Linked DNA regions of Tribolium castaneum. The protein of the gene in region 4 purifies or fractionates together with the protein of the main gene of each other region. This does not show direct contact. Links are inferred from orthologs where the notes say so. Each region holds a gene or a part of one and is shown on either strand. Other genes may lie near its edges.

Region 1 (4,142 bases), on a different chromosome or scaffold from region 4:
TATTCCCCTACTTTATGGAACCGCAAATACTAAACAGCCTCCCCGACTATTCCATGCTCGATTATAAAGTCGACTATGACAACCATCCTTTGTTTCAAGACGGCGCTAAGGCGCGGAAATTTGGGTCACCCGTCCGAATTTTCACGAACGTGGACCCGAGGTAAGCCGACGATTTTTACGAACTTTTCGGGACAAAAAATTGTAGTAAAATAGTCCTTCCGGCGAATGAAGGCTACAAATTTTGCCAAGAGTGCAACAAATGGGTTTCAAACGAAAACAAACACTGCCCCATTTGCCAGAAATGCACCTCGAAAGACGGCCGGACGTACACCCACTGTCCCATGTGTGCAAGGTGCGTTAAACCGAGTTGGCAGCACTGCGAAAAATGTGGTCGGTGCTGCCAACCGGACCACAAATGCGGCGACTTGGTCTTTACTCAGGTCAGTCTCAAACTCCCAATTCAAGGTTTAATAATTTTATTAAAGGATTGTTTCCACTGTAAACAACCGGGGCACAAAAAACGGGACTGTCCCAAGGTTGATCACAAACAATTACATATGAAACGCAAATTGAAAAGTAAAAATAGGGCGAAACGAGTTAAATACAGTTAGGAATCCATCGAATTGATTTCATTTCGGACAATTTCCGCCGCCTCCTCCATCTCCAACCCTTCCAAAATGTACAAGAAGTTGTCCAAAGTGGCATCTTCGTCGTCATCGAACCACAGTTGTAGCATATTACGGGCCTGGTCCACCTCTTTCTCATTTTCCATACTGAAGAACTGGATTTCGTCAGTTTTGAAGCCCAACTTGCTGGCTAGTTTTTTCCAATTGGGGGCCACTTTCTCGCTGAAGAGTTGCAACTGGTTCGGGTTTAATTTATGCTCGACTCGCGCGTTCTTATCGTCCATAAATTCCTCCGTTTCGGACGGTTTGATGTCTTCGGTGTTTTCATCAACTTGCGTGTCCTTAAACAAATTTTCTTCCTCGGCGTCGTTTTGTTGCGACTCTTGCGAATTTTCGGTCACGCGACCTGGCTTATCATGCGCTATTTTCTTGACCATCATCTCCAAATACGAAGACAGGGGGTTCATAATCACAGTACTGTAGGTGAAAAAGTGGGGGCTGCGCTTAGCCAAGAGTCTCAAAGCCCGCCACCCGTAATTCCCATCTTTCAGTAAATTGTCTTCGTCTTTGACTGCGCCAGGTGACTCGATTTGGGCGATGGCATCGGCGAAATAATCCTCAAGTGTGGGGAGAAAATCGCGCTCTCGGCCTTTACAAGCCTCCAAGTTATCGGGGCATAGGTTCCACAGTTTGGTCAGTTCGGTGCTTCCCATGTAGTATTTGCCCTCACTGGAGGCCTGTTTAATGATGTCGCCTAAGAGAGGGCGCTCTTCGGTTCGGCGCTTGTCGGGGCTTTCCGTGGGAACCACCGATTTTTTCAGTTCGGGACAACCGTCGTTCTTCCAAGCGTTCCAATACTCCTCCCGACTTAGAATATTTGAGGCGATTTCGGCAAATCGTTTACCGTCTGGAGGAGTCTCGCGTAACAAACTGTAGACTTTTTCGGTGCTTGATTGGATCCACTCTTTTTGGTCCGACTTTAACTCGAAACTTTCGCTAAAAAAATAAATTAAAGGTGCGTCTAGTTTAAAGAAACCGACTCACGATTTAAATTTTACGGATGATGAAAGGTACTGGAATAAAATTAAAAACTGCAACAGGACGGCGCGCCGAAAATTGACGTCGTACAGTTGCAAGTCGAGCAATTTTTGGCTCGTCAGGTACTTGGAAAAGTACATTTTATTTTTACTTTCGTCACAATAGCTCCCGTTATTTTCCACGTGTTCAAGCTTGAGGCCTTGGAACGTGTTAAAGACACTCGTGGCGTACTAAAAAAAATAATAAAAATCGGTTAAAATGCGCAAAAATAATTACGGTGCAAAACAGTTTCCATTGCACTTTAGTGTACAACTGGTTGGGGTTCCGGAAAAAATCCTGGAGCGACCAAAACTTGCAATAAAACGTGAAATCGATCACGTTTTTCTTTTCGTCGCCGTCAACGTCGCCCCCCTTTTCCTGGCTCGAGTCCGTGCCATACTCTGTCGTGTTTTCCAAATTAAATTCGCTCACAATATTCAAACCTGAACGTTCAGAAAACGGGAAAAACTTGGCCAAAAAGAGGAGAATTCGGCCGCAAAAAACGGTCGCCGTGGACCGAGATAACCGCCTCAATAAGTCGTTACACAACCTGAGTAAATTATTTTTGCAACAACTGAAAAACAAGTTCTCTTTCCACACTTCGACATTGTTCTCTACGTAGAGGAACATTTCCTGACAGGCGTCCAGCGTTAAGGCGTCAAAAATGTCCGAAAGGAGCATCACTGGCATTGTGGGGTTGCTCAGTTCCTTGCGACATGTTAGGACGCTAAAATCGACCAACTCGCGTAAGACTGAGACGTTGACTTCCTTTTCAAGGAGTTCGAGTAAGACGTCGCGGAACGCCTGGTCCAGAGGGGCCTTAAGGTCGATGGCGGACTTCGACAAGTGTTTGGCTTTAGTTTCGATCAAATCGGTGGTTTTGGTCTTGAAAGATTTGCGTAAAACGTCCTAAAAACCGGGTTAGAAGTGGCGTTTGAGGTTATGTCGGGGCCCACCTGGTATTCGACCCGTAACGACTCGAATTTGCCCCCCATTGCTTAAATGCAACGCTTGGAGGGCCCCCAACGTGAAAAACGCTCAATTTCGTGTGAAATACTTGAATAAGCGACCGGAATCGTCTTGTAAACAACTGTCAAAGGTCAAAAATAATGTTAGAGTCCGCGAAATGACAGATCGTCCACGGTGGTAGGAGTGCGCAGATACGAAAACTCGTCTCGGACGAGTCCAATCTTTAAATTAGGGGTGTTGGCAGAAAACAGTGGCGTGGCGTGTACTTACATGTGTAGGGAATTCGTCTTAAAGTTTAACATTTCAATATTACCAGTTATAGTAAAGATACCAGTAGAAACATTTTTTGCAATAAACGCGTTTTTACTCTTTACTCATTGTGTATTTTTATTTATTCGACCTCTCTGCTTTGTATTTCTAGGAAATCAACGTGTATTAGCATTAGATATGATTTTTACTATTTCATCTTGCAATTATTGAATAGAGGAAATTTTAACTACTACAAATTATGAATCTCAAACCCTTCTTGATCATAGAATGGTTTTTTGCTACGCCACTGCTCAATCTCCTCACTCGATGAAGTACGCATTGGCTCCGCCTATCGTGGTCGTTTACAGAGTTTCCGAGCTCTACCACTAATTTTCGCACTAAAATTTCACATTGCCAGTTTCTGTTTAAATATAAACATGCATTTTTATTTTTCCATTAACTGCATGCGAAACTTTTATAATTTTAGACGTTTATAGACAAATACATTTGTCATAATTAATTTTTCTAGATCAATACTGTTCTATTTTGAATAATTCTGTGTATGAATGTTTCTAAATTTGACGGATTTGGACAGTGAATGTTTCTGGTTATGACCTGTTTTAGACGTGTGATGACGTCACATCCGAGGTTAGGTGTGCGGCGCAGGCGGCGAGGGCGGTTCAGTCGACAGCGAGCAGTGGTACGGGTCAGATCGGGAGCGGGAGCGGGAGGCGAGGCGAAGCGAGGTGAGTCGGTTTATTTAAATTATTGTGTATTGTGCGGTTTCGTTCAATTTATTCAGTTTGTTACTTGCCGTTGTCGCGAACGGACGTGTGTTCAAGCAAATCTAAATTTTCCGGTTTAAATTTTCAATTCGGTGGCTAGTGATCGCGTTTGAGTGACACATTTTAAATACAGTAAATAAAATTATAATCAAACACTCAAATAATTAATTGCCACGTAATAATTTTGTCTTTAATTTCAATGAATGAAAGTGGCTTGCTCAAAATTTAATGCAAATAAACATTTTTTTGGTTTCAATATTATTATTATTTTTTTTTAATGCTACAAACGGTAGCCAACGTGGAAGCGATATGAAGGTAGGTGTATTTTATTGCTGTGTCGTATTTATTTATTTCTCAAACCAATAATTTCATAAAACTTAATTGCAATTAAAATCTTTAAATGCGGTGTTGAAAAGTGATATTTTGAGTGACACAT
Region 2 (3,953 bases), about 2.1 Mb from region 4:
ATTCCGTCATTTTGTATTTCGATTTACTTTCATATTAAATATACTTTTATTAGAAGTCTCAAGTATCTTATCCCGAAGTTCCAACATTAAGTCAGAAACACACTTAGGTCGAGTTGTATAAAAAATTTCAGGATTAAACCCATAGCCATTGTTATGAGAATAATTGTTAGGGATTTAAATCAGGACTAAAGATGATACAACTCGACCTTAGAAATGTAATCACATTTTTTTTAAGCCAAAGATACAAAATTCAAAATATAACATTATATTTTGAATTTTGTATATATAACATTATATTTTGAATTTTGTATAATCTATTTTCAACTATCAACATCATTTAAACAAGGATAAGATTATAAAGCAATAATAGATAAAGGAGAATTACCAAAGTTTCAATAAGTTTATTTCTCAATTTGAAATCTGAATGTGATAATTAGAACGTAAGAGTTTCAAGGAGATGAACCATTTTTTGATAATGAATAATGTGTTTTCCACTGTCAATGTAAGTCCTAGAGATTTTCTTTTTGCAAGAACGTTTAATTTATTACTAATAATATAAATATTAATATATTATTCTTCAAAATATTTACAACTTTTAGATGCAAAGTATAAGACTGAATATTTATTTTCATTGAGTTTTAAGTTAACATTACTGCAATGTTTGGCTATTCTTTTTAGATCATTGTTTATTTGATTCCATTCAGTATCATGGTAATCGATTTTGTTTGAAAAATAAATAAATAAAAATTAGTATAAAACGCGAAGAGGAGGAATGCAGTACAGAATTACAGACGAAACCGCTTTTTTTTCAAATTGAAAGCCGTTTGGTTTTTAAAAACCCGTGAAAATTTAACTCAATTCAATGTTACTACTGCATTTTTGTCTCTATTTTTTTTAAACTTATTTTGACATAAGTTATAATACGGAAGCTTTAATACATTATATTTAACAATAATCACTAGACTAGTAAAAAAACGATTGATGGACTTATCTCATTATTGCACTGAATAAATGTCCACAAATTTTCGGTGTTATAACAACTGTTACTGTTTAATGACATTAAAATAAATCAATCGATTACAAAACCAGTTATTGCATTTGAAAGAGAAAATTTTATAGCATACGTTTCTATATTTTTCTCAAAAAGACTAAAACTGGAGTTATTTCGTTAAAACATCGAACACCCCAATTAAAAAAAGGATTGGGCCCAAAACTGAGCACTGGGGTACACCTGAAGTTATGTGTTTCGCTTATTCGTTACAACTTATTGATACCGGTCTTGTAAGTATCAAGAGAATAATAAAACTGCATTTTCATCAAACCCATAGAAAACTTTTTGCAAAGAAGATTGTGATCTCTAGTATGTTATCAAAATCTAATGAAACTATAATGCTGCTTCAACAGTAGATTGGCTAACAATATTGTGTAATTTTCAATGTAAGAAATATTTTCAATACTAGAAAAATTTAATACAAGAAAAACCAAACTTACATCAGCGAAGTTCATTCTATTGGCATGTTTCCTGAACTCAGTCATCGCATATCTCTCTTTCATTTTGCGGACTCTTTTCCCGCCCCTTTTCTTCTTGGACTGGTCGATAGGTTTCGGCAGCGGCTTGATAAACTTAACTGGGGGTGGTTCCAACAACTTGTCCAGTTTTCGTTCAATTTCGTCGCGTAATTGCCGCCCAATACGTCCGTCTTTACTCTCATGACACGAGTCCACACGTGCTGCTAGCGTGCATTTAGTGGCAACAAGTCTGGCAGCCTTCCTTCTCAAATCAGGCGGAGTATTTTGCACGATATCTGCGTAATAAACGAAACCAGTGTGCGGCAACATATTCACTTGTGAAAATCCAGACAATGCCTTCTTCTGTTGGCCCAACAATTGCACGTTACAGGCCGGAATTTTGGACAATCGGGTCAAACCCCCGGCAACCCCCATGAGCTTGGCGGCGATCGAAGCCCCAAGAATCGCCGACAAGTTGGGGGCGATGAAAGCCATCCGACTCTCAACGTATTCGTAAATTTTCAGTTTGAAGTTGTTCAAGTCTATGGCCATGTCGCAAGCTTCGTCGATTTGTTTCTTTTCGACGTCCGTTAGGAGAATCCCCTGTGTCGTGGATGCCGTGACTGAGACAACCATGATAGTTGCCTGCGTTAGGAATTGTTGCAAAATTTCATTATTTTTGGCTTGGTCTAAGTCATTCCCGAGCTCTTTGACGGTCTTCAAGTACTCCAAAGGACCAACAACAAGGGAGTCCAACTCGGGGAACCGCTTCTGGTACTTGTCGCGCACAAATTTATGGACAGTGGCTTCAATAAAACAGATTAGTTTCAACTGATTTGGTTAAAATCGTAACTCTTACCAATTTCCGCGTCTATATCTGCAGCAATGTTGTTAGCTTCGACGATCAGTTGATACTCAGGGTCCAACTCAACTGGTCCTATGATGTCGTGGTATTTTCGGCTCTTCTTCACATGGTCTTCGATTTGTTTCAATATTTCATGTAAATGGGGCGAGTCCCGTAATTTACACAACTCTCGGACTGAAGTTATTTGAGTTGTGTCTACCTCTAACTGGATGTCTTTAACGTCGGGTTTTTCTTCTTTGATGTCCGGTTTTTCATCAACTTCCATCGCTTCTTCCAAATCATCTTGATCGTTTTCTTCCAAATCAGCCAATAATTCGTCGGCCAAAGACATTTTAGCGAGTTAAAAACGTAACTCCAAAACGTTCACACAACACTTGGAAGTGAGGTTAGAAAAATGCAGTTTACAAATTGACAAGTGTCCATAGATTACTTGTAATGTGGGGCTGAATTACTGGTTGTCTATAATAATCTGCTTATTAATTTGGGGATAATGAAAAAAAACAATATAATTATTAATTAGTGAAGGGACGGAATATAGTCCGTGAAAGAGTACTTTTCCGGACACATATATCACTAAAAAAACAGTTGTTATTGTAGTTTCAAGCCATGTTATTTAAATAAAAAAAACTTTTTTTTTATTTTAGTCAACTTTTTGGTAAAAACTATAACTATAAGAACATAAGAGCAAACTTGCTTCGCCAAAAGCTCTTTTAAATACCATTTTAAATTAGAATATTAAGATAGTTGTTTTTAAAAATAAACAAAAATAAATGGAAAAAAGCATACAAATAAAAATAAAAAGGAGTCAGAGGACGCCAAAGCACCAACTAATTTTAATAAAACCGGATTGAATAAAACTGTATGCCGAAGAAAAGAAATAAAACTTTTTGACTACAAACGAACACCTTATATTCATCTTAACGAAGTTGTGGTAGATGACAGAAATATTTAAAAAATTTACTTTCTTATTAAATTTTGGATCAAGTTGTGTCTTCTTTTTAAAAACGATGCATTTGTATTTGTGAATAACTTCAATTTTTTAAGAAGATTTAGACAGCAAAAAATTGTAAAGACTTACACGTAAAGCTTAAAAATGGTTTCCGATTTATTTAACGGAATTAACGCTTTAAGATTCATTTTTTAGAAAATAATTGCAAAAACCCACAAAATATATTAGAAAATCTTTTAATAAATAATTTAATTCCTATTCATTACCCGTTTTCTATTCAACAGGGAAGCGATCATTTTTAAAATTAAAAATTATTTGGCATCTACGATAGTTCAATGCTTCAAATCGAAGCAATTTATCTGTTATCTTATTATAATAAACTACCAACCGACTTTTTAAAATTCTGATCTAGTTATCCATGACAGATACGTCATCAATGAAACATTTTGCATAAATAACTTTAGCATCGCTTTATTTGTCAATATGTCTAAAATGTTCACCGAAGAACCAAAAAAAATATGTTGGAATCTTATTTCCGTAATGGAGATCGGGTTAACGTAACTGTCACGGATAACTAGACCAATATTTTAGAAAATCACACAGTATTAATTTGTTTGAATATAAAGTTAC
Region 3 (3,529 bases), on a different chromosome or scaffold from region 4:
CTCTCCAAAACTTTTTGCATGGATTTTAATTCGTTATAACTTTCTTTCTCACATTTTTCTTGTATCTTTGACACATTCACACACATCATTTGGAAAAATATGAAACGGAGCACATTTTTTTCTGTTTGTCGTGAAAATTTTGGTCGGCAGTTTTTTCTCGGATTCTAGCCTTTTTTTCAAGTAATTAGTGAACTAGTTAAAAAATTAATATCAAGCGTTCTGAGCTTTATTCCATTGTACTGGTTAAAAAAATCTGCTTAACAAAAAAATCACAAATAAATTACGAAAATTTGGCTCGAAGGTGAATAAAAACAGCACATAAAATACTAAAGAAAAATTTATTGATATAAATAAAATGAATACAAATTATTTGAACGCTTTTTTACACCGCCAGTCCAAATACTCATCAAAATCTTCATTATCGTCTTCATTGGAATCATCCTCTTGATCTACTTTGTCCCCACTAGTGTGTGTTATAATCGTTTCTTTCTTCTTTTCTAAATCTAAAACCCTACAAACGCCGTTCAAACACCACAATTTCTGCAACTCAAACGACCATACCTCGATAATTTCTTCATTTGTTCTTCGATTTCATCAATTTGTCGCTCATTGGTCGCCTCCTCTTGATCTTCAGCAATAATCGCGGCACTTTTACTGTCAGCTTCGCGAATTTCCTTCTGAAATTTCTCCCATTCTTCTTCAACTGGATCTTTGTATTCCTGATTCCTGGCTTTGGCGTCTAACTTCGGGTCATCGAAAAAACCTTCAGGTATCGTTTCAGTATTGTCATCAACTTCCATTTTCTCTTCCCGAGGTTTTTTCACCGGTAAGATTGGGGCACCGTTTTGTGACTTAGCGTCAAAGAAATCATCGGGAATTTCCTTCTCTTCACTTTTACTTGAATTAGAGTTTTTCAAAATTCCCTTGATTTTCTTCTGGGGCACTTCCATAGGCGGCGTCAAGGGCCGTTTCAAGGGAGTTGTGAAGTTGTTCGTTTTTTCTTTGAGTTTTTTGGCGAGTTCTACATTTTCGCGGTGTTGTTTCGAATTTATGTGGACTGTCCATACGGCTTCCGATTTGACAACGGACTTACACAGCACACATGTAAGCTGGCCTGAATCGTTATACTTAAACTAATATTAAAGAAAATACAAAAAGAACGATAAATAAAAATAAAACAAGGGGTAGGTCGTGAAAGGATATTTTGCAAGAGGCGACTCTATCTTTTTGACGTCTTTTTGCAACTTGCTTTTCTCGCTTATTAAACGGCGGAATTCCGTCTGCACAAGCTTCTTTTTTGAATTTTTAAACGTTGCAGACATTTTTTTACCTAAAAACGTAACCTAAAAAACAAAACTGTCAACTTGTCTGTGACAGTGGACCAAAGATGGTGCCAACTGGTTCCAATATCTTCCACTGTGGTCTGCGTATTATTTAGCAGTGATTTATATCAGGAATTGATTTTTTGAAACAAAGACGACTCCCTGAGGCCCTTGGGAGGCGAAAACTTGCATAAAAACTCTCACTGATTTGGGAAATTCAAAATATATATTCAATAATTTGGGGAATTTGGTGTTTCGGGTTGGCAAAGCGGCAAAAACCACGCTATAACCTCACATTTACTCGCGCAATGGTATTTTTTCATAACCAATTTTCTAAATTAAAACCATATTTTCCAGTATTCTGTTTTACACAAGAAGGAGAATGCGCACGAGGAAAGCATTTGGAGTTGTGCGTGGGGCCGGTACACCACTGAAAAAAAGAAAAAAGACCAGAATGAAGAGGAAAAGTCCCGGTTTGTTTTTCCGTAAAAAAACTCTAAAAAACATAACAAGGTGCTTTTTAGAGATTCGGTGATGTCGGACGAGCCTCCCGTTGATTACATCATAACGGGAGCTCTAGACGATCTGGTAAAAGTGTGGGAATTGCAAGACGATAGACTTGTTTTGAAACATAACTTAGAAGGGCATTCGTTGGGGGTTGTCTCCGTTGCCGTTAGCAACAACGGGAAATGTGTGGGGCGCATTTGAGCATCTGGGTAATTGTTTGATTAGTGTGTGCTTCCAGTTCGTTAGACTCAAGTATGAGGATTTGGGACTTGGAAAGGGGGAAAAAAATCGCGCATGTTGATGTGGGTCCGGTTGAACTGTGGACTGTAGCGTTCAGTCCTGACGACAAGTACATTATTTCCGGCTCACACGCTGGAAAAATCACGGTTTATAACGTGGAAACGGCCAAAGCTGAACAAACTTTAGATACGAGAGGCAAATACATTTTGAGCATAGCTTATGTAATTATTTATTTTTTACGTTTATTTTTTTAATTAAAATTTGTAGAGTCCTGACGGTAAATACATAGCTAGTGGGGCTATTGACGGCATTGTTAATATTTTTGACGTGGCGGGAAATAAACTATGGCAAACCCTTGAAGGCCATGCTATGCCAATCAGATCTCTTTGTTTTTCTCCAGATTCTCAACTACTTTTGACTGCGTCAGATGACGGCCATATGAAACTTTACGACGTGTAAGTAGGCTATGATTTTGAATTAAGTGGTGCCAACTTAATTTCAAAGTCGCAGTCACGGAAGATAAAATAATTTTGGTGTTTTTTAGGCAACATACTAATGTTGTTGGTACCTTGTCAGGGCACGCTTCTTGGGTCGTAAGCGTTGCATTTTCTCCAGATGGTAAATATTTCGTGTCAGGAAGTTCCGATAAAACTGTTAAAGTTTGGGAATTGGCCTCTAAACAATGTGTTCATACGTTCAAGGAACATAATGATCAAGTAATTTTTTTGATTGTATTTTTTTTATTTGTTATTTTCAATCGTTTGTTGCAGGTTTGGGGTGTTAGGTTTAGTCCAGATAGTACCAAAATTGTTTCAGTGTCTGAAGATAAGAGTATAAATGTTTACAGCTGTCCAGTTTAGTTTACACTTCGTAATTTATTAATTAATTGATTTAGTGAAGTGTATTGCTTAAACACCTAGTTGTATAATTTTTTTTATAATAAAGCTATTTTTACATCCATTGTTGGTATTATTGCTACCACATTACTTCTAAAATTTCCTACTTCCTACTTCCATATTAATTTAATAATTTTGTGGTGTTTCTTAGGAAACACGTCAGCTTTTTGCATAGTTTGCATGACTGATATTATTATTATCTATCTACTAGTCAAATTGACAATAATTAAAATATCGTAAATCAAACCATATTAATACAGGGTGAGAATAGTGCGTTACTTGTGACATGTTTTAAGATGCAATCAAAAATACTAATTAGTCTTACCACTTGACTACTTCGTTTAATTTTTAAAAACATTAATTAAATCAACACCGATTTTTATCTTATAAATAATAATAATCTATAATGAAATTTTAGCAAAATTTTTAAAACAAACTTGACACTACCTATAACATTGTAATCATAGATTAAATTTTATTCTTTAACGATTACCGAGAGCTAGAAACAGTATTATTGGTTGCATATCTAAGGAAACTTAAAAATAACCCTCTATTGACTCAACC
Region 4 (4,143 bases):
AGGGAAGAGGAAGTTCAGGAGGAGGAATCAGAGTACGAGCTCTGAGGAGGAATCGGAAGATGATAAGAAGAAACACAAGAAGAAGGAAAAGTCGTCAGAGTTTAAACTAATGTCCAAAGAGGAGAAAAAGGCATTGATTAAGTAAGTTTCGACTTTAAAACTGAGGACAATGTACTCTACTTTTTAGTCGAATATCAATTTTTTGTACGAAAATTTTCATTTGCAGTAGTTCATTTAAAAAATCACAACTCTTGAAACTTTTACAATAAATAAATAATTATATTAGTATTCGATAACCAAAGGTTCAAAGGGTCTTTTCAAATTTTCAGGATTGTCAAATGTCAAATTGCAAGACTACTATGATTTTTTGAAATTGATCAAAAAGTAATTATAACAGTTTTTTCAAATTTTTGAATGGTAATCAAAAGGATATCGATTTTTATGGAGACTTTTATCAATATCTCCTATATCTATCTCTTATACTTTTTAAAATAATCTCAAAAAAAAAAGACCAAAAGCTCATTGTTTTCAATTTTAATCGAGTAAACTTTCGAAAAATACGATAAAGTTGTGCTATTAAATAAAAGTACTGCTTATTTGATAATAAATCAACTAAAAACTAAATAAAAGTTGGACAGTTGTTGACCATTTTGCAAGGTCTACTTGATTAACTATGAAAATTACGAAGTAAAATCCGTGTTTTTTTTTGTAATTATTTCTAAAAATGTAGGAAATGGGTATAGGACGTGTTCATAAAAGTCACCATAAATATTGATGTTCGATTGCTGTTAAGAAAAAAGGATCGTTCCATTTGAAAGACTGAGTTATAGCCATATTTTGCCAAAATCATACTAGCCTTGAATTTTGACAAATGACAATTTTACAAAAATTCAAAAATCCCTAAATCGATTAAAATAATATTTTTTATTTAAAAACGACAAAAAGGGGGCAATTACAAAAAATAGTACAAAGATCTTTTAATTTACTATTAATTAATTGATTACAGGAAACTGGAAATTGTGGAGAAAGCAATCAGTAAAAGGAACGAAAAGAATGGGCGAAGAAGTTCCGATGAGGACAGGTCAAGGAGGGACAAAAAGCACTCACGGCATAACAATGATGACTACAGACGGGACAGGAAGCGAAAATCTGATGATTCCTATTATGAAAATAGCAAAAGAAGACGCTCTTAAGTTTTTGTTGTACATTTCTTAGAATTGTTGTGATTATAGGGATTATCATGATACTTGTAATAATTTAGAAAACGTAATATATTTTTAAACGTATTCCACCGAATTTTATTTATAAATCCCGCCAACTTTAGCGACAGGCTGGCTATTGGTCCATTTTCGCGCAGGCGCTTAATGAGTCGCCATTTTGTAACGCAAGCTTGTCATTGATTTTCCTTGAAAGTGTTTTGAAACGAAATAAGCCAAAGCAACAAGCATTGGTGCTAGAAAATGGAACAGATACCAAGGACTCATGAAGGTACGCTGTTTTTTGCACCCAAAAGCCCGTTTCATGACTTTTTTGCGTCTCTAGACATCGAGGCCCAAATTCGTGAAATCCAGTCTAAAAAGAAGGAAATTCCGGTGGAAGAGGAGCGAAACGAGAAGGGTGTAGGTTTAGGCGAGAGTGGCTATTTTGATAGTGAGATCTACGATGGGGGCGGCGGTAAGGGTAAATACGAGGGTTATGTGACCTCGATCGCCGCCAACGATGAAGCCGATGAAGAGGACGACGATGTGGGTTATAGTCAGAAACGGACCGGACTGGGGGCCCCTGTGGCGCTCCTCAATGATGTCGCTCAGGTGAGATTTGTGTTATTTAAGTTTTGTGGTAGTTAACTGAGTTGTTTAGAGCGACAAGGATTTTGATCCGTTTGCTGACAAGAGGAGGCCCACGATTGCCGATCGAGAGGACGAGTACAGGCAAAAGAGGCGTCGGATGATTATTTCACCCGAACGTGTTGATCCGTTCGCTGACGGTGAGTAGTTGATTTCGTCCAAGTATTTATAGCTCGTTTTTCCACTTGTTTATGTTTTATATGAAATTTGAGATAATGCTGTTGCTGTCGCTTATCTCAAGTTTTGTATGTTATTGGGGTATATGAAAGATAGCGAATGGATGCATGAGTGAGCAAAAATACTCGAGAAAGTAGGCATTAAATAAAAATCAGTACAAAGAAACTAATTTGTTCTGTATTGGATTCCAACATTTAGGGGTGTCTTCCTAGAGAAGTAATCGCCGCGATTTTAATGGATCACTTCCGTAAAATGTAACGTTGGTAAACGAAAATCGAACAAGAGTGAAAGAGTGTATGCAATGTATAGAAAATTATTAATTACCCCAGCCTATTTCTAGGTTCGATTTGACCAGTTGTTTTGCGAGAAACTGCCTGATTTGTGATGGAGCACAATCACACGTACGTATCAAGATTTGTTCGCCAAATTCACTCCCTTTCAATCCCCAATATTCGAAAAATAATCAGTTTGAGTGAATTGTGGTGCAACCAAATCTTTCAATCATTCAATAAAGAACAGATACTAAATAGAAAAGTCTGACCATTTTTTGCCAACAAGTGCTTCCGTTTACTAATTGGCGTTTTTCAACGCTGTTATGTTTACAGGTGGCAAAACACCAGACATCAATGCCCGCGGTTACACCCAGATTATGAAAGAGCAGATGCTCAAAGGAGAAGAAAACGAGGTCAGTATCAAAAATTTATCACCTAGCCAATTTTTTTTCGTAATTATGTCCGGCAATGGAGTCCTTTGTTAACTCAAAGTTGATTTCTTTGACCACTTGTAATTTAATTTCAGTTGAGGAAAAAAATTCTGGAAAAATCCAAAGACGGTTCACTCAAATCAACAAACGGTGAGGTAAAGAGCGCACCTAAGAAACGGGGGCGCTGGGACCAAACCGTAGACGAAGTCGTCGTCCCCAGCAAAAAGAAAACTCTCTCCGTAACGACCAACAGTGCAGCTGCTACCCCCATCTGGGATGCTGACGTAACAATCCCAATTTTTTAAAACCAATTATTAATAAAAAAATTACAGAAAACTCCAGCCGACCACCGCTGGGACGAAACCCCCGGCCACAAAGGCAGTGAAACGCCGGGCGCCACCCCCGGCCAATCCACCCGTATCTGGGACGCGACCCCCGGGGCTGCAACTCCAGGTCGCGAAACGCCCGCTCATGACAAGAGTGCCAGTCGTCGAAACCGCTGGGATGAAACACCCAAAACCGAGCGTGAAACTCCGGGACATTCGAGCGGCTGGGCTGAAACCCCGCGCACCGACCGAACCGGAGCCGACTTGATTCACGAAACACCGACTCCGGGAGCGTCCAAACGCCGCTCCCGTTGGGATGAAACTCCCTCTGTTCAGACACCGTCGGCGCACATGACTCCGGGTGCTATGACGCCGCAAACGCCGCACGGAACGCCAAGCCATGCCACTCCGATGCTGACTCCGGGCGGGTCAACTCCGGTCGGAGTCAAGGCGATGGCCATGGCGACGCCCACTCCGGGACACTTGGCGTCCATGACTCCGGAACAACTCCAGGCCTATCGATGGGAGCGGGAGATTGACGAGAGGAATAGGCCGTATTCGGATGAGGAATTGGATGCGATGTTTCCGCCGGGGTACAAGATTTTGGCACCTCCGGCTGGGTATATACCCATCAGGACGCCAGCAAGGAAATTGACAGCCACGCCCACACCCATGGTTAATACTCCCCAGGGATTTTTCATCCAACAGGAAGATAAGACAGCCAAATATCTGGATAATCAACCAAAAGGGCAGAATTTGCCGTTCATGAAACCAGAAGATGCGCAATATTTTGATAAATTATTGGTCGATGTTGATGAAGAAGCTTTGAGTCCTGAGGAACAGAAAGAACGGAAAATAATGAAACTACTCCTAAAGATCAAAAACGGGACCCCTCCCATGCGAAAAGCCGCCTTGAGGCAAATCACAGACAAGGCTCGAGAATTCGGTGCAGGGCCCCTTTTTAACCAAATTTTGCCCCTTTTAATGAGTCCAACTCTGGAGGACCAAGAACGTCACTTGTTAGTCAAAGTCATAGACCGAATTTTGTACAAATTGGACGATTTAGTCCGTCCCTACGTCCACAAAATAT
Region 5 (3,768 bases), on a different chromosome or scaffold from region 4:
TGCTAGACATACGTACAAAAAAGGGATAAAATTAATGGCTTGGAACGACGTGGAGTTAACTCCCAGAGGTAACGCTCGTTTGAGATATGAAGCACTGGTCGATGAATGTAGAGTAAGTAATTTTTTTAATTTAACAAAACAACGAAAAACGTAAAATTTTCAGCTTCATACAGACACATGGGCAAGATCAGTCCTCTCTTACCAAACAGATAAAACAACGAGACTACCAATTATAGATGTTGCAATCAGAGATACCGGAAGATCGAACCAAGGGTTTTCAGTGGAAGTTGGCCACGTTTGCTTTTCTTAACAGTTTAAACACAACACTTACATCACTGCCATTGTAAATACAAGAGTATTATAAATGTTGTAAAATTTTATATTTTCTATTGATCTGAATAAGGTGCTATACAAAATGTATATTAATATTTTAGAATAAAATTCTCGATTTATAACCGCATCTTCACCCACAATTAAAGGAGTTAAATAAAACAAAGAAGTCCACATACATATCAACTTTATTAAGACAGCAACATACGGAATGAATGACAAAAAAATTACAGGTCACTCAGAAAAGCTAATTACCTAATCATTCAAACTAAACAAAAACGTTTATTTATTTTACACGTTACTCCGACTTATCGCTCGAATTTTGCCTTTTCATTGACTTGAGAGCCTTTTCTCTCAACTTTTTCTCATCGTCATTAACAACTTCGACGTCACTATTATCAGAGTCTTCACTTTCTACCTTTTTCTTCTTATGTTTCTTATGTTTTTTCGAGTGCTTCTTCTTCTTTTTATGCCTCTTGTCTTTCTTGCGTTTCTTCGACTCAAGTTCTTCATCAGAATCGCTCGCCGATTTCGTAACCTTCTTTTTACGTTTCCGCTTCTTCATATCTTCCTCACTGTCTGAAGAGCTGTCCCTTCTGTGTTTCTTTGACTTGTCTTTATCGACTTTCTCAACTTCAGAATCATCAGAACTCTCCACTTTCTTTTTGCTCTTACTCTTAGGGACATCACTGTCACTCGAATCATCTTTTTTCGATTTACGGCCTTTGTCGGAACTATCAGAACGTGCACGTTTCTTCTTAATCTTTTTATCATCTTCCGAATCGGAACTCTGGTGACGCTTTTTCTGCACTTTATCCTCGCTGCTGTCGCGCCTACTTCTCTTACCGTCTTTGCCTTTCTTACTCTTGACTTCCACTTCGGGACTACTGTCTCTATCCTTCTTCTTAGAAGTATACTCCACTTCACTATCACTGGAACTCGAATCGCGTTTCTTCGTCTTCTTCTTCGCCTTTATCTTCTTCCTCTCCCTCTCTCTTTCTTTCTGTCCCTCACTATCTGAATCACTTGAGTTTGAATCAGTCTCACTCTTTGAAGGTTTCTTCGTAACCTTCTTAGTTTTCAATTCAGCCTTTTCTTTGAGTTTCTTCTTATCGTCCTTCGCAGCAGGAACTGTCTTAGTTTTAGGCGGGAATTCGTTTGCTTTTATGAACGGCGACGGCGTTCTAGACAAGCTTCGCGAATATCGTGGCGGGCCGTGAGGAGGAATCAAATTATTATCCTCTGGACTGATACTCCTAGACTTTGACTTCTTCCTATCCTTGGATTTGAAGTCGCTTTCAGTTTGACTATCAGAAGTACTAGCCTTGCGTTTCTCTTCCAATTTCTTATCCGATTTGTGAAGATCTTCTCTTTTGGAATCGTCAAGTCGACGGAAAGATTCCTCTTTCCTGTCGTCCGGTCTCCTAACAGACGGTCGAGACCCACGTGACTCGTCCCTTTGGTCCCGACGATCATTTCTAGTCACAGGACTCGGACTAGGCTTGCGTAGACGTTCCCTAGATTTACCTCTAATTGGTGACTTCCTCCTCAAACTTCCCCTATCACGAGACGACCTCCTCCTCGACCTCGACCGCCTATCCCTAGACCTGGAGCGCCTTCTCTCCCGGGAAAGTCGCCTGTGGTTCCGGTCACGGCTTCTACTGCGTCTAAGCCTCCTAATTCAAAACATAGGAATATTAATACCAGACAATAAAATAAATTAATAATACTAACCTATCCCTGCTGCTCCTCCTTCTGCTAGGACTGCGCCTCCTCCTGCTGGGACTCCTGCGGCTTCTGCTGCGTCGTCCCCTTCTGTTCCTGCTCAAGCTCCTCCTCCTGCTATAGCTGCGTCTCCTGCGAGGGCTTGCTCTCCGCGGGGTGCTCCGCCTTGAACGTGAGATGCTCCGCCTTCGTCTACTCAGACTCCTCTTGCTTCGCGATGGACTACGTCTGGAAGCAAAAATCTATCTGTAATTTGAAGTAAAAATTAAAAACTTACAACTAACAATTTGCATTAAAATCTACGACAAGAACTGTATCTTACAATCCGAAACAGTTTTTGTATCTACTTTTGTTTGTGGTTCAGTTGGCAATGGCGTAAAGTAGGCTATGTTCTCAAATGTCGAAAAGCGGCCATGGCCAACTGAGATAAATTCTGTCCTCCAACAAGGAAGAACAACTTGATATATCTTCTAGTTATTAATTCAAATACAGTCTAAATCAATCGATTTTTCTATGTATCAAGTTTTGTTTTTTTGATGTTAGCGGCCTTACAACGAAAAATCAATTGATTTAATACAAAATAGCAGATTCTGTTCCCATAAGTAAAGTAACAAGCGCCTAAAAATGAATGACATCGTAGGGTGTGTTGGCCAGGCCAGCGTATATCTAAATGAGGCCTAGCCAAAACATACTACGATCTCATTCATTTTTAGACGCTTGTTATCTCATCTAAAAAAATTACTCAAAAAAAAATACACATTAATTCACAAATTAGACAGAAAAAAAAAACAAATATCTTAGCTGAGATACGCCGGATATAAGATTTAAGTGGATCTCGACCAAACAATAACGGTAAATTGTGGAATTATTGGTGACATAAAGCAAAATTAAGTAATGATACGGCCGATAAATAATTTGGAGCGGCAATTCACCACTAGGGACAAGATTTATCGATCATTTTGCACAAAAAATTACTGTTTTTATAATAGAAATTCATTAGCATTACTGAGTAGTTACAAGAGCCTCATAAATTTGTGTCAGTGAGAATATATCGCATATTTTCCATGATTATTTATTTATTATAAACCGAATTGAAAAACTAATATTTTTTTCTCGTCTCTGACATAAATCTACAGAAATTCAAAAACACGAAAAATTACAAAACACGATTTTAAATTAACAATATCTTAAAAAAATATATTTAAAATAAAATATTTAAAAGATCTCTCTTTCATGCAGTTGAACGGTCGAGTTCCCCTTAATAAAAACAAAAAATCGAATGCTAGTTTCAAATAGAAGATAACTGTTTACGTATTGCAAATTTAGAAGTATTGAACCACTGACACAACACTGTTAAAGAAATGACTACATACCATGTCATAAACTGACAATTAACTCTGTATCCTTGTTTTTAACGGTAAAACACATAATAGAAATAAAAATCCCACCTTCTCGAAAGACTCCTCTTTCGGCTTAGGGACCTCTTCCTGGAGCTGCTCCTCTTCCTGGACAAGCTCCTCTTGCGTCTGGGACTCTTATCCCTGCTGTTTTTCCTGGCGCGTCGCGGTGACTTCGACAGTGACTTCTTCCTCTTGCCCTTGTCCTGGTCCGGTTCGCTGTCGGAGCTGTCCTTGTTGGATCTGTAGTGGCGTTTCTTCTGGACGCTGTTCTCCTTCTTCCTGATCTCGAAGTTGTCCTTGGATCCGTCCGAAC
Region 6 (4,044 bases), on a different chromosome or scaffold from region 4:
AAAAATTGCTTTTAACAATAATGATGAAGAACTATTAAATTTCCGGATTCAAAAATGATGCACAGAAACAGTTTTTTTAAATAAATTTCGGTTCAGTTTGAATTAAACAAATAAACTTGAACAATGACAGTAATGAATAGACAACATGTAAGTTAATATATTATTATTATATTTAAAAAAAAACTAAAAAAAAAGTATAATGATAATAATTTACTTATTCTTATTTCAGTAACTTTTTTAATTGCTGCAGCAAAATCCGACAGTCAGGGGAATAATGTTGTTAGAATTATTGATACTAAGTAAATATTATGTGATTTTAATTACAGCATAGTTTTAAAAAGTGAGGACGCCCAAGTCTTCAAATGCACAAAAGCAACAAATAAACTGTGCAAATCAGTTTATTGCTGTGTTTTGAAAGAAAAGACAGAAAACGATAAATTGCTCTTTTTCAGAAGGAAGCATAAATATCATTATAACAATATTATTCCTACAATGTACCAAAATATTAACTTAACTTTTCAAAATCAGAACTGTTAAAATTTCGTCAAGCAACCTCATACTTGAAGTGCGCAAGCGTTCAGAACTACCAACCCCGTAAGTGACAAGTTCAGCGCGGTTTAGCTAAACTTTCCACTCAACAACACAACTACGGTTTAAACTTAGTTTAAATATAAACCGACCTCATGTAAGCGAAAGCTTCAGCTTGAACTGAGCAATCAGGCCTAACTATTTTGGTTTTAGTTTTCTGACAATTTAATAACAAAATAGTAAATTCCATAGTTTTTTCCATAAAAATGGTCTCTTGTGTTATTTCTATACAACTAACCGTTTCTTAATAAACAGTATGTTACAGACCATAAATAACATGAAAATCAGGGATGAACAGAAGGTTTCGCGACCAGAACCTGTCCCGAGGAAGAACGGACAAAACGTCGACATTTTCTTACAAATGCGGCCTAAGCCAAAAAGACGTAGATTTCAATTTGGTTCTAGTGGTCCGTTTTTTCTTAATTTCTGCCTCTGTTGTTTTACATACGACTTCAGATGTGCTGCAGGAGCAGTCATTTTACCAAAACACAAACTCCTGCAAAATATTAGCACACAACAGTCACAATCAACAACGCACGGTTTTGACATTTATATTTAACGTTTACCAACCCAAACGTAGGTCGTAGCGTTAATTGTATGCAGCAAAAGACTGACGAATCATTAGTCGAGACATTGCTTACGTCACAGCGCGAATTTTCTATTATTACTAAAAAAGTACCGATTTAAAAAAACTCAGACCGATATTACTAGACATCATTTTGTGTCTACTTTCAGAATCTACAATTTCCAAAAACTTTTATTTTCGAGTATAACACTTCATTGTTGGAGATATAACTTGTCAGCTTAAATCCCTATTTCCATAAAAGTGTCTGTTCCCTATACCTGACCCCCAATCTGGATTACAAGCTCTCACCGAAAAGCCGCCCCAATGCTTTTATTATGGGACAAATCTTCAATTCGATTGCAATTTCCGGCATTCCTAATTAAGTTACACGTTTGACGCAATGATATGATTTGTTCAGCTTTTTAAGACGCATCGATTGATATTATAAAAATTACTCAATCTGAGTGGTCCTTAAATTCCCATAAGAAATGTGCCTTCGTTTCTAAAATTGTCAAAAAACGAAAGCCAAAATAGTTGGGGTATTTTTTATCCTCCACCCCCCAATTTGGGACGTCCCTGATTACAAATATGTACATTTGGTGTTCGAATTCAATTAGACGTACAGAGATTATTATCTGTACCAAATTTTGTGTTTTTATATGCCATGGTTTCTGAAATATTGGGGAAATTAAATTACACTAAAAGGAACACCCCTTATGAAATATTCTTCGATACATGTTTGTAGGAAACTTTTCTCCTAAAATTGAGTGTGCTATCACCTGTTTAAAAGTTGTAACAATAAAAACGAACAGCCCATATGTTTTTACGAAAAGATAAGACAATTTTAAATGTATTTTCATGCTTTTTTTATTTTCGCTCTAATCTTATAGTTTACAAAAAAAAAACAAAAATGTAATAATAATAATAAATTATTGACGATTCAAGAAACGATGCAATGAAAACACAACCTCACAATTTAAAAAATCAAATCGTAGGTGGCAGCCACACATGCTAAAATACCCTTGTGTGTAATTTCGAAAAATTCTGTAAATAAAAACTAAATGACTTTCCTTTTAATCGCTTTTCCGACCTTTATTTCCTATTATATTTCGAATGATTTTCGCGATAAAAAACGAAAACACAAATCAAATTAACAAACCCACCTGTCACAAGCACTCTAAATTGCGACCTGCGAGCTGGTGGCCCCCTGGAGCTGCGTCCCCTGTCGCCGCCGCCGCGGCCACCCCTGAAGCTGCCATGGCCGCCGCCCCTCGGGAATTCCACCCGGAGGCGGTAGCCGTCGTAGTCGTAACCGTCCCGTGCATGTACGGCGTCGTCCGCGTCCCTAAATCAGCACACTGAGAGGGTTTCGAGGCCACATGGGGGCTTACCTGGGGTCCTCGAACTCGACGAAGGCGAAAGGAGGTCCCCGTCGGTTTTTCAAGTCGACGAATGTAACTTTGCCGAATTTGTAAAACAGGTCTTGGATGTCTTTGGTGCGGATGTCCGGGGGCAGATTCCCGACGTAGATTCGGCAGTCGTTGCGGCTGTTGGACATCGTTTCGTGTTGGAAAGTGGACGAAATCGGCGATAAACAAGAAGGAAAGATGGCGACGTGAGGGCGTTTGTGATGGCAGAGCCATCTGGACGGGGTGTGGCGCCAAATTCGAATGGAGGGTTGCAGTACAATACAGTGTGTTTACAGAAGAGTGTAGAAATGAGATAACTGCCAACACACTCAGGGAATTTTTATTTTTAAGAATTTTATTCAACTCCGAAGTATTGGTACGGGGTTTGAGGGTCACCGGAATAATTTCTCTGTTAAAATAAAATTTAATTGTACATTAATTTCATTTGCCTCTATTAGCTGTTTCAAAACTATAAAAACGCCAACGTCGCATTTTATCGAATTATTTTTTTAAATACTATTGATAAAATTGTAAAATAGTTATTAATGATTAGATCTCTCATTGAAAGTATAAATTACACTAGTTATTATTTTTTTGAAGTGCATGAATAATTTATAGAGGTTGTTCCATATCTGGTGGCGAACTGACAGTGACATAAAAATACATGGGCGTGCATTTTTTTTCTGTAAAGTTTACTTAGTTCTCATTTTAACATTAATAAATTTTGAGAACGGAGAAAGGTAGAAATATCACTATTAATTATTATTAATAATTTGTTTATTATTTTTCACAGTACTTAATTACCACAATTTTTTAAATACTAACAGTGGATTTGACAGACATTGTATAACGACGCCTATGGTCATTTTTTTTTCAATAGTAAATGTTTACCTATGTATGTTTAATGCCAAAATTCACTCATTTTTGGAATAAACTCTAACAGCTAATTTTGAGAGAAAATGCGACGTTGGCGTTTTTATTGTTCTGAAACAGCAATACTTTAGTTTGATCAAAATTTGAATTTGAATTTAACCCGAAATCGTTTTGAGCAAGTTCAATTTGTGTTTTGTGGAGGCGTTCAAAACTAGATGAAGAGCTAAAAGTTTTACATTTTTTTGTGAAGTTATGATAGTTCTAACGTTTAATTTAACCCTAAGAATAGGTAAAGAGATCATTTACCGAATCATATCGTAAATTTTTAGTGGAAGTACTTATTAAAACAAAAAACTGTACCAACACTAAGTAGTAATTACATAACAAACGCATAAATAAACTGTTTTTACCAAACTGCACACACTAAGACCTATTCTGTAATTTTATTAAAGGACTGTTAAAATTTGACACATTTCAAAAAATAGCAAACCTAGCAATTTTGTTGATTATCGTTGTACCAACAACTAAAGCTCCTTAAATTAAAAACAATTAAAACAGTTTTAAAGCCGGTTTACAGAAAGTGAAATTAAGATCTAATTTAGAATTAAA
Region 7 (2,873 bases), about 840 kb from region 4:
ACAGAGTCAGAGCTATTTTTGACTCATTTTAATTATGTATTAATTAAGCGAGAAATTATATCTTTTGTTTGATTTTTTCACACAATATCAGTGGCCTTTTAATGTAGTGTTAAATAAAGCTGATTTTTCAATTTGCTTTTGATAAAAAGAAGTAAATAATAAATATATAACACTATGTTAGGTAATTCACTTCGTAGAAAATCATATATTTTAAAAAAGATATCGGTAGGTTTTTTCATAACGTAATAAGGATGAATGAATCAAAGATAACAAACGCTAACCTACATTAATTTTATCTGTGTGTTCTATAAGTGTTCTGTTTAATTTTACTTGCTTGTTGATTTTATTTTGTTTATTAGGAAACTTACATAACCATGAGAGTATACCAGGGTGAAACATATATTTTTATGAAAATGTCTTTTAATTTTAACTACTATTGCAGATATTAAAGGTTTTACTATTTTCTGGTGAAAATTTTTATTTTGGACTGTTTAATTTCAGTACATTCGTAAAATAAAACTATGTATTGTATATTTTAGGAGTCCAAGCCGGAGTAGAAAAATATCGTATCGAGATGGCGACAGAGACCGAGAAAGGCGCCGCGACGACCGAGACCGAGAAGATCGCAGATACAGGTAAGCTTAAAAAAGTATCCCTCCCGTGTGTACGTGGCACATGTCGCACATAATCGGACTAAAGCGTTGTCTGGGTTGGAGACGATTTTTTGTTTGAATCACAGCGAGCTTTCCTCAACTTTTACTTTAAATAATAAATGTACGTATGTTTTATTTTTTTTCTAATTCTTTTTTTGGCTTCACGTGAAACGTACCTCGAGTCGACGAATTTTGCACCAAAGTTTTTGACTGTCGTACGTATTTGGTACAACCATGTCATAGATCATTTTTTGATTTGGCCTTTCAGGTCGCGCAGTCGATCACGCTCAGACAGACGTTACAAGTCCTCGAGATATTCACGTAGTCACTCGCGTTCCCCCGGCGACCGGCGGTCGCTCTCACATAGCCCTATGTCTAGCCGCAGGCGCCATTTGGGGACCAGGGACAATCCAAAACCTTCGCGGTGTCTTGGCGTTTTCGGATTGAGCGTCTACACGACAGAGGACGAACTATATCACATCTTTTCCAAATATGGGCCGCTTGAAAGGGTGCAAGTTGTCATTGATGCAAAGGTAAAACACATACTTGTAAATAGTCAACACCACCCTGTGATATTTGAGAGAGTCTGGCTTTCAGTGCCTATTTTCTTGATGCGCACAGGAAGATTATAGATAGTGTCCCGTGCTGACATTTTTGATACTCCTCAATGCTCAGCTCCGTTTACACTACGACATTTTCTCTTCTTCTTTAATACGTTTCTTGTTTGGTGAAGCCTTGAAACTCATTTATTATTTGTTTTTGTTAGACTGGACGCTCACGAGGCTTCTCGTTTGTGTATTTTGAAAATACGGACGATGCGAAAGTAGCCAAAGATCAATGTTCTGGTATGAAAATAAACGGTAAAAATATTCGAGTCGATTATTCTATCACAGAAAGGGCGCACACACCGACGCCTGGAATATACATGGGAAAACCCACCTAGTAAGTATTCTTTCCTCGTTTAAATAACTAAGACAGTATTTTAATATTGTATTCTATGGTGCTACTTCTTTCTACTATTGTATGTAGGACAAAAAGTGTGTTGCAGAATTTTTCTAATATCCAAGAATCATTTCCACATGTTATGCGTATCCGTATCATGTTTTACTGATTCTTGGTAGAAAAAGCCGAAAGAATTTCAAGTTCGAGTAAGTTTGAAGGGAATAGAATTAGTGTCGTGAAGTGAAGACACTCGTAAAGGCTCCTTCTCACATTTTCATTGCAAATCCATTTCAGATGTGTGATTTTTGTCTCTTTTTTGCAGTAAATATAATGATCGTTACGATCGACGCCGGGATAGAGAGTAAGTTTAGCGATTTTTGCAAGTGATGTGGTTTTGAATTCGTTCTCTTTTAAGTGATTATTATGGCCGTGGTTCGCGCTACAGCCATAGACGTTCTCCATCGCCGTATTACAGGCGACGTCGTTACGACCGTTCGAGATCTCGCAGTTACTCGCCTCGTAAGTACCCTTTTAAAGTTTTGCCACGCCGGTGCAATTTTAAATTTAGCGATAAAGTGTTTGATTCTAAGACGGTTTAAAATTGCATTAAAATAACATTTTCGTTGATTTATTTTGGTATGTGGTGTTGCTTTGTTTTAATTCGTGTTTATTTTAATGTTAATTTCAGGTCGTTATTAAACTTCGTGGGGGCACTGCATTTATTGGAGAGATAAACCGTAGTTGTAACATTTCGGTGGAGTTTATGCCAGTATTGTAGATGTATATTTTTTACATTTGGTTTTTAATGTATGATGTTCCTGGTGTAATCTCCATGCGTTATTTTATTGGTTTATTTTTCATATTCGCGCGTTTGAGAGAATGTCGGCGGGTTTTAAGCGCCATCGTGGATTTTGTATAACTGATTCGAAACTTGATGCCAATCGAATGGTTGAAAGTTTTGATATGTAGTGTAGTTTTTGTTTGTTCTTTCTTGGTTTTCTTGAGTTCAATCTGTGACACTTAGATAAGCTCTAATAAATGATTGATATCAACACTAATATCGTTTTCTTTGTTTAAAAAGGGATAAGAACAAGAGGTTTGGGATGAATTATGAAGTTTATATAAGAAATAGAATTTTCTCAAGTTACCTTAAATCACTTCTCTGAAGCTTATTTCAATGAATCAGCTAAACACACGAAATGAATTGTGAAAATACATCCATCAAGAGAATTGAGAAATTTTTAACAACTCTCTTGAAGAATGAAAAATTGTTTTCTT

Evidence for each region.
Region 1: the proteins of Sf3b1 (region 4) and Hpr1 purify together in Homo sapiens (co-immunoprecipitation; 4 studies listed by BioGRID and IntAct, with this or other methods). This does not show direct contact. The link is inferred for Tribolium castaneum from reciprocal best matches to the Homo sapiens genes SF3B1 and THOC1.
Region 2: the proteins of Sf3b1 (region 4) and Prp31 fractionate together in Homo sapiens (co-fractionation; 3 studies listed by BioGRID and IntAct, with this or other methods). This does not show direct contact. The link is inferred for Tribolium castaneum from reciprocal best matches to the Homo sapiens genes SF3B1 and PRPF31.
Region 3: the proteins of Sf3b1 (region 4) and superkiller complex protein 8 purify together in Homo sapiens (co-immunoprecipitation; 3 studies listed by BioGRID and IntAct, with this or other methods). This does not show direct contact. The link is inferred for Tribolium castaneum from reciprocal best matches to the Homo sapiens genes SF3B1 and SKIC8.
Region 5: the proteins of Sf3b1 (region 4) and Srrm1 purify together in Homo sapiens (co-immunoprecipitation; 3 studies listed by BioGRID and IntAct, with this or other methods). This does not show direct contact. The link is inferred for Tribolium castaneum from reciprocal best matches to the Homo sapiens genes SF3B1 and SRRM1.
Region 6: the proteins of Sf3b1 (region 4) and SF2 fractionate together in Homo sapiens (co-fractionation; 3 studies listed by BioGRID and IntAct, with this or other methods). This does not show direct contact. The link is inferred for Tribolium castaneum from reciprocal best matches to the Homo sapiens genes SF3B1 and SRSF1.
Region 7: the proteins of Sf3b1 (region 4) and transformer-2 protein homolog beta purify together in Homo sapiens (co-immunoprecipitation; 3 studies listed by BioGRID and IntAct, with this or other methods). This does not show direct contact. The link is inferred for Tribolium castaneum from reciprocal best matches to the Homo sapiens genes SF3B1 and TRA2B.

Annotation. Positions count from the first base shown.
Region 1 is NC_087399.1:4,612,862-4,617,003, forward strand, and holds Hpr1 (THO complex subunit 1), read right to left. Parts: upstream 2,801-4,142; 5' UTR 2,699-2,800; coding exon 2,660-2,698; intron 2,613-2,659; coding exon 1,941-2,612; intron 1,895-1,940; coding exon 1,671-1,894; intron 1,623-1,670; coding exon 608-1,622; coding exon of another isoform or gene 486-607; 3' UTR 460-485; downstream 1-459. Other genes in the region: rRNA N6-adenosine-methyltransferase ZCCHC4, read left to right, coding at 1-160, 206-440, 486-611. UniProt on the Homo sapiens protein: Component of the THO subcomplex of the TREX complex which is thought to couple mRNA transcription, processing and nuclear export, and which specifically associates with spliced mRNA and not with unspliced pre-mRNA.
Region 2 is NC_087395.1:18,107,641-18,111,593, reverse strand, and holds the start of Prp31 (U4/U6 small nuclear ribonucleoprotein Prp31), read right to left. Parts: upstream 2,801-3,953; 5' UTR 2,706-2,800; coding exon 2,369-2,705; intron 2,316-2,368; coding exon 1,492-2,315; intron 1-1,491. UniProt on the Homo sapiens protein: Involved in pre-mRNA splicing as component of the spliceosome. Required for the assembly of the U4/U5/U6 tri-snRNP complex, one of the building blocks of the spliceosome.
Region 3 is NC_087397.1:7,428,825-7,432,353, reverse strand, and holds superkiller complex protein 8, read left to right. Parts: upstream 1-1,496; 5' UTR 1,497-1,630; coding exon 1,631-1,633; intron 1,634-1,679; coding exon 1,680-1,795; intron 1,796-1,846; coding exon 1,847-2,013; intron 2,014-2,054; coding exon 2,055-2,290; intron 2,291-2,336; coding exon 2,337-2,524; intron 2,525-2,613; coding exon 2,614-2,785; intron 2,786-2,839; coding exon 2,840-2,929; 3' UTR 2,930-3,029; downstream 3,030-3,529. Other genes in the region: zinc finger protein 830, read right to left, coding at 367-511, 562-1,133, 1,209-1,322. UniProt on the Homo sapiens protein: Component of the PAF1 complex (PAF1C) which has multiple functions during transcription by RNA polymerase II and is implicated in regulation of development and maintenance of embryonic stem cell pluripotency.
Region 4 is NC_087395.1:16,040,037-16,044,179, forward strand, and holds the start of Sf3b1 (splicing factor 3B subunit 1), read left to right. Parts: upstream 1-1,343; 5' UTR 1,344-1,460; coding exon 1,461-1,488; intron 1,489-1,542; coding exon 1,543-1,811; intron 1,812-1,860; coding exon 1,861-1,987; intron 1,988-1,992; exon of another isoform or gene 1,993-2,425; intron 2,426-2,629; coding exon 2,630-2,709; intron 2,710-2,822; coding exon 2,823-3,011; intron 3,012-3,059; coding exon 3,060-4,143. Other genes in the region: corepressor interacting with RBPJ 1, read left to right, coding at 1-141, 1,007-1,193. UniProt on the Homo sapiens protein: Component of the 17S U2 SnRNP complex of the spliceosome, a large ribonucleoprotein complex that removes introns from transcribed pre-mRNAs.
Region 5 is NC_087398.1:3,116,110-3,119,877, reverse strand, and holds the end of Srrm1 (serine/arginine repetitive matrix protein 1), read right to left. Parts: coding exon 3,504-3,768; intron 2,284-3,503; coding exon 2,065-2,283; intron 2,007-2,064; coding exon 629-2,006; 3' UTR 501-628; downstream 1-500. Other genes in the region: collagen alpha-1(I) chain, read left to right, coding at 1-112, 164-310. UniProt on the Homo sapiens protein: Part of pre- and post-splicing multiprotein mRNP complexes. As a component of the minor spliceosome, involved in the splicing of U12-type introns in pre-mRNAs. Involved in numerous pre-mRNA processing events.
Region 6 is NC_087401.1:8,588,123-8,592,166, forward strand, and holds the start of SF2 (serine/arginine-rich splicing factor 1A), read right to left. Parts: upstream 2,801-4,044; 5' UTR 2,712-2,800; coding exon 2,545-2,711; intron 2,499-2,544; coding exon 2,317-2,498; intron 1-2,316. UniProt on the Homo sapiens protein: Plays a role in preventing exon skipping, ensuring the accuracy of splicing and regulating alternative splicing.
Region 7 is NC_087395.1:15,203,854-15,206,726, forward strand, and holds the end of transformer-2 protein homolog beta, read left to right. Parts: intron 1-539; coding exon 540-635; intron 636-921; coding exon of another isoform or gene 922-1,032; coding exon 1,033-1,186; intron 1,187-1,419; coding exon 1,420-1,595; intron 1,596-1,917; coding exon 1,918-1,956; intron 1,957-2,010; coding exon 2,011-2,114; intron 2,115-2,283; coding exon 2,284-2,294; 3' UTR 2,295-2,373; downstream 2,374-2,873. UniProt on the Homo sapiens protein: Sequence-specific RNA-binding protein which participates in the control of pre-mRNA splicing. Can either activate or suppress exon inclusion. Acts additively with RBMX to promote exon 7 inclusion of the survival motor neuron SMN2.